Callithrix jacchus: one gene and its partner. The protein of the gene in region 2 interacts with the protein of the main gene of each other region in a biochemical or structural test. Links are inferred from orthologs where the notes say so. Each region holds a gene or a part of one and is shown on either strand. Other genes may lie near its edges.

Region 1 (2,947 bases), on a different chromosome or scaffold from region 2:
AATACAAAAATTAGCCCTGCATGGTGATGGGCGCCTGTAATCCCAGCTACTTGGGAGGCTGAAGCAGGAGAACCGCTTGAATCTGCAAGGCGGAGATTGCAGTGAGCCAAGATCACACCACTGCAGTCTAGCCTGGGCGACAGAGCAAGATTCTGTTCCCCCAAAAAACAAACTTGTACTTTTTTACACATTCAAAGCCTATAAGGCAATAGGTATATACTAATGTATTATAGAGAATACAAGTAAAATAATTTCAGTAAATTAAAGTATTTCCTTCTTTTGTCAAGTATGTGTATGGTCGAACTCACACATTAAACATGGATATATGCCATCTAGTATCTCAGGTCCCCATCAGTAAACGCCAGAGCATGCCCGAGTTGTGTCTGGGACTCCAGTTACCCTATGATTTGATTCAGACTCACCTCATCTCTGCTAATAAGTTCATTAGAAAATGTGAGGCCAGGCATCAGTCCTCGTTTCTTGAGCCAGAATATGGATGCAAAAGAACCAGAAAAGAAGATGCCTTCCACTGCAGCAAAGGCTACGACGCGTTCACCTATTTAAGAGTTAACAGCAATAGGATTCTAGTGAGTAACTGTTGGTATTCATAGGAAGGGTCAACAATCCAGTAACATTACATGGAAAATGAAGCTCAAGCTGAAGTGGGGGCAAGGGTCTCCTTACCATAGGTAGCCTCTTTGTCCCCAATCCAGCGCAAGGCCCAATCTGCCTTCTTCTTGACACAAGGCATCGTTTCAATGGCATTGAAGAGAAATTCCCTAGTAGGCACACACAGCATCAGCAATTGAAGTATTACAGTAAAAGACCCCCGATTACCAGCTGCTAGATAAGAGCTCTGGGACAAAGGCCAAATTCAAGTATTTGCTGATTCTCTTCTCAAAGGAAGAACCCATGTCAAAATGTTTTATTTTTATTGGTCAGCTTTTCCCTCCAGTGTTCTTTTAAAAGTCTCAACATTTGATTTACGTTAATACAAATGTGGGTAATCTGTAGTTCATATGGAGCTTCAGGGTCTACAAACAGTAAAACGTGGGTCAGTACAGCAGGGACATTTGTTGCCTTTATTATTTCAAGTCCAGGTCATAGTTCCATGTGACGAACCATAAAATTTAAAGAACCATAAAATCCTAACTGCCATGCTATTATCAGACTATCCCTGGGTGCATTATTTGGCCCCAATTGCCACATCTCTATCATAAAATAATTAAACCAATAAACAAAGATTGCTTCCTACTAAAATTCTGTCCTACACTGTCAATCCCAGGTCAGCAAAGTAAATCCATGGGTATTAGTTAAGTGGGTCTCCCTTACCACTCTTCTGGTGCCCACCTTGAGAGGCTACTGATTTCTCAGCCTGTTCCTACCAGATGACCTTGTGTTCTGAAGCCAAGGTCACCAGACATTGGGCAGCTTTCATTTCTGTTTATTTATTTAAGGGATGAGGGTCTCACTCTGTTGCCCAGGCTAGAGTGCAGTGAAATAATCATAGCTCATGTTAAAACCAAACTCCTGGGCTCAAGCCATCCTTCTGCCTCGCTGTGCCAAGTGGCTGGGACTCACACTACCACATTTGGCTGCCTTTTATTCTCTTTCCATCTCACTGTCCTTCTCTTTGAGACCTGGGTCTGCCTCTCCCTTGCTTTTGAGGCTTCCCCAGAACTTCCTGAATCCACCCATTCTCCTTCTGGTCATTTGCCCCCAGTCGTACCCCTAATCTTTGCCTTCTTTTCTCAATTTCCACCTATATAAACATATTCAAATCTCTTCACCCAGAACGAGTTTCTTCAGTCCTTTCAAGTTACCACTTTCCTGTTCATGCACTTCTAATTTTACAACAGCCACATTAGGTTTCAGCTTCACCACTTCTACTCCATATGGAGGCTCCAGTCCCTAAAGCTGACCTTAGTGTCTAGACTACTCCAACAGCCCGTTTCTAACCCATCGCCTCCAATCAATCTCCAAAACATAAAACAGACCTAATGCTATCTTTATTCAGTCAAACTGCTGCATACCTAAATCCATCTCAGGGCTCACTGCTGCCTCTGCCTGTGTAACTCCTCTTATTTGCCTGTAGTGTACTGCAACCCCTCAGCAGGAAGTCCTCCCCGCCCTTCATCCTGCTGCAGCCCCACATTCTAGTTTCTCAACAAATTTACCAAATGACCAAAGATGGTCAGACATAGGTTTTAGTTTGTCTTACCCAACATGTAGGAATTCCTTCAAAAAAAGGCTTTAGATTGGTAGGCATCCAACTCTAAAAGTGGAGCACCTTCACAACTCTACGTGAATAATAAAGTGAATTTAGGCCCCTTGCTAAGAGCAGACATGACCACGGGTGCTGGAAATGTCTATGTCTGCTTAGTCATTCTGGAGTCATTTTTATCCCTAGATGAACTAAAACTTTGCCACAAATCAACAATTAAAGAGTCCTAAAAATCTTGGCATACCACTTGAATACGCACCTTTCGCTGGGATCTTTTATGTAAGTGTCAATAAGGAGACTATACATTTCAGAATGAATGTTTTCCATGGCAATTTGGAAGCCATAGAAACAGCGGGCTTCTGTGATCTGAACTTCTTGGCTAAATCGCTCCACCTAGTGGCAAAACACAAAGTCAAGCTTGAGAAAAAACTGGCGACAGCAACTCTTGTCAATGGATGGTAGCATCACGTTCTGCACCCTTGTAAGATTTCTTTCTATATATATTTCATCCAATTCTTCACAATTCTGTGACAAAGTGTGATATTTTATATCCTATGCTCAATTTACAGATCAGGAAATAGAAACATATAAAATAGGATTTCTTTGAGCACTCAATTATTTCCTAATTTATGTCAAGAAAGATCTGTTCATAGTAAGAGATACAACCAAATTACTATCTAAACAGCAAAGCCGCCAAAAGGAGGGAGCAGGGCCGGGCGTATT
Region 2 (3,828 bases):
ACCCTTCTGCCTTCAGAGTTACTTTACATCTCTTCACTTACTTTGCAATCTTCTCCTTGAGAAGCTTCCAGTCCCATAGGTCTGTGGGAGTAACATTCCACATATCATACTGAAGAATCTAAGGAATACACAACTCAAATTTATTCTACAGCAAGTTAAAATTATGACCAAAAAAAAAAAAAAAAAAAAAGACTAGCTGCCATGCCCCACATCCCAAACAAATGCTGTCTTCTAATCGACCTCTATGATGAGGAATACATGCTCTAGAGATTTTCCTGGACAAAATTCCATGTAGTCATATTAATCAGAAGTAGGTTAAGAAAGCTGATTATCCCACATAATATCTACAAACCAGAAAACTCTAACATTCATGAAAGCATGTGGCTGATAACATTTTTTTACAGTAAAACTGTCACTTTAACCTTGTCTTTCTTCATTGCCTTGATCTGTCCCTTGATCTGTTTACTTAGCTAAAAACGCCTATTTTCTAATATCAGCACAGAATAGATTTTCTAATATCAGCAGGAATGTCAGAAATGAAATTAACATTTTATGTAGAAAAGAATCACATTACTGATAATAAAGGCAGAATTCTAAGACAGCTCCCCAGATTCCCACACCTTAGTGCACAGGCTGTTTATAATCTCCACTTGAGTGTGGACATGACCTGAGAATAGGATGGATGTCACTCCAGTGATTATGGCAAAGGTGAAAGGTTTCTGCAGGGGTAATTAAGGTTGCAAATCAGCTGATTGTGAGTTAAATAAAAGGAAGATTACACCAGGAACAGTGATTCATGCCTGTAACCCCAGCACTTAGGGAGTCCGAGGCAGACGGATAACCTGAGGTCAGGAATTTGAGACCAGCCTGGCCAACAGGGTAAAACCCATCTCTACTAAAAATACAAAAATTAGACAGATGAGGTGGCACACACCCATAATCCCAGCTACTTGGGAGACTTGAGGCAGGAGAATCAAATCACTTGAACCTGGGAAGCGGAGGGTGCAGTGATCTGAGATCACACCACACACTCCAGCCTGGGTGACAAAGTGAGACTCTGCCCCCACTAAAAAAGCAGGGGGGAGGTGGAAAGGTGAGAGGGTAATTATCCTATGTAGACCTGACTTATCAGGTGAAAGCCCTCAAAAGAGAGACGAGACTGTGCCCCATTTGAAATGAGAGATTGTCTCCCGACTGGCCTTAAAGAAGCAAGATGCCATGAATTCTCAAAACATATTTTGCCAACAACCAGGTGAGCCTGGAAGAGAACTCTGTGCCTCAGATAAGACCACAGCCCATACCAACATCTTGAACACAGACACAAAAAGGGCCCAGCTAAGTCTGGACTCCTGACCTGCGGAAACTGTGAGATAATGAATGCATGTTTTAATCCACAGAAAACTAACACAAGCAGCATCCCTCTTACATTATTTTAGCAATGACTAGTTCTAAATAAGAGATTAAAACAGAATATCATTTTTACTCCAGAGGACAAAGGTATTAAAGTTTCCTTCAGCTGGTGCAACAAATTACCAAAAACTTGTAAACTTAAAGTAACAAAAATTTATTATCTTATAGGCTGAAGACCAGAAGCCCAAAATCAACATGTTGGGAGGGCCACACTCCCTCCAAAGGCACTAGAAGAGATTCTGTTCCTTGCCTCTTATAGTGGCTATCAGCATTCCACAGCTTGTGGTTTTAACACTCCAATTTCTGCCTTCATAGTCATGTTGCTTCCCCTTCTATGTCTCTTGCCAGACAACTGTCATTAGATTTAGAGCCCACCTGGATGATCTAGGTAAATCGCCTTATCTCAAGGTTCTTAATTACATCTGTAAAAACCCTTTTTTGAATGAAATTCACAGGTTCCAGGAATTAGGATGCGGACATATCCTTTTGTCGGGTGACCATTCAGCCCACTACAGTTACTTATAGGCAAAAACAATTTCATCCATATACTTACTCCTCTGCTAACTGGAGAGCCCTCATAGGTTTCATATGGTCCATGCTCTTTGGCAAGGTCACAGCTGGCTTCCAGGGCTCCGTAATAAATAGTTTCAAAGATCTGCTTATTCAATAACTGAGCTTCTGCACTCTCAAAAGGGTATCTCATCAGGATAAAAGCATCTGCCAGACCTTGTACCCCAATTCCAATGGGGCGATGACGTTTATTTGATAGGCATGCCTTTGTGTCAACAGATTTTAAAGGAGAAAACATTACTGAACAGGAAAAGCAACATTCTACACCAAATGAAAGAGATTACCTCTTTTATCTCAGCTTTCTCACACCATTTTATTGATAACCATTTAAATGATGACTTGCAGATCATGACTGATTCCTTTCAATTTGGATTTCAATCATTGCCAATAAGGAGAGAAATCTATTCATACCTCTGGTACAGGATAGTAGTTTATATCAATAATTTTATTCAAGTTTCGGACAATGACTTTAGTGACTTCAGCTAACTTCTGAAAGTCATATGTGTGTTCTGATGTGACATACATATTCAGGGCCAGGGAAGCCAAATTACAAACAGCAACCTGGAATGTAAAAAAAAAAAAGGTCAAGAATCACACAATTTTTATTTCTACTCTCTGTATCAATCACACCACCACGTGAGCCTCTAAGACTCTCAGACATTAAAATTTTAAATGTTTATATTTGACTTCTCCCTCTTCACCATTCATCAGTCTATTTCTAAATCCCACTGATTCTATTTCAATACCTAATCATATATGTTAGTTATAACATGCATCAGCAAAATAGGTAAGCTAGAGAACCCAGTGTTCCACAGTACACATCTCTATTACCAGACATATATCACACTATGTTATAATTAACATTTTACATACACTTATCTCAGTATTCAGTAGATGACTGCCTGCAATATGGTAGGCACTAGCTACATGTATCTATTTAAAATGAAATAAAATTTGAGTTTTTCAGTTGCACTAGTCATGTTTCAAATGTTCACTAGCTGCCAGATAGAGAATATTTCCATCACTGCAGAAAGTTCTTCAAAACACATGTCTACCTCACCTCACTGAAACTCTGACAAGCTTAGCAACAAAGGATCCTAATTTTTGAATTTCAAAAAAGCTCTTCCAGTGATTCCTCCACTACACTACACTAGGCAGTGAGCTTCTTAACACAAGGATCACATCTTATATATATTTATATTTATAGCACTAGCAACACATCTGGCATACAGTAAGTCTTGATAATGTTGAATGAATATACTTCCTTTTCCATTTGGATTATGACCATTCCAACCCAAAGTCTCAACTTCTCTCACCTGGCATCAGTTGAACTCTTGATGCCCTTCACATCAACTCCATTCTACACATGTTGCCAAATACCTGTTTTTAAAATATAGCTTGGATCACAGAAGTCTAATAAATGCCAGGGAGAAAAATAGGCAGGAAAAGAAGACAGAGAGTACTGGGGATAAAGATGAAGGGGTGTCATTTTTAAACAGAGTTGTCAAGAAAAACTTCACGGAAAATATTGCATATGAACAAAGAACTAACAGGTTAGAAACCAAACTATGTGGCTATGGGGAGAGGGGGTGCATTTTAACATTCAAGTGGCAAGAAAGAGCAAAAATCTTCAGGTAGGAGCATGTCTGACATGTTTGAGAAACAGCAAGAAAACTAATAGGGTTGGAACACAGTGAACAAAGGGGAATGCAATCGCAGATGAGGTGCGTTAGGACTTTGAAGGACATTGTAAGAACTCTGGATGGAAAGGAATGAATAACTGAAACATGCTACAATATGAATAACCCTTAAGCGCATGCTAAGTGAAAGAAGTCTGACACAAAAGGC

What was found.
Region 1: the proteins of RRM1 (region 2) and RRM2 form a complex in vitro, tested with the Homo sapiens proteins (3 studies listed by BioGRID and IntAct). The link is inferred for Callithrix jacchus from reciprocal best matches to the Homo sapiens genes RRM1 and RRM2.

What each region holds. Positions count from the first base shown.
Region 1 is NC_133515.1:104,869,806-104,872,752, forward strand, and holds part of RRM2 (ribonucleoside-diphosphate reductase subunit M2), read right to left. Parts: intron 2,618-2,947; coding exon 2,484-2,617; intron 780-2,483; coding exon 685-779; intron 557-684; coding exon 423-556; intron 1-422. UniProt on the Homo sapiens protein: Provides the precursors necessary for DNA synthesis. Catalyzes the biosynthesis of deoxyribonucleotides from the corresponding ribonucleotides. Inhibits Wnt signaling.
Region 2 is NC_133511.1:69,574,979-69,578,806, reverse strand, and holds part of RRM1 (ribonucleoside-diphosphate reductase large subunit), read right to left. Parts: intron 2,542-3,828; coding exon 2,392-2,541; intron 2,186-2,391; coding exon 1,964-2,185; intron 119-1,963; coding exon 42-118; intron 1-41. UniProt on the Homo sapiens protein: Provides the precursors necessary for DNA synthesis. Catalyzes the biosynthesis of deoxyribonucleotides from the corresponding ribonucleotides.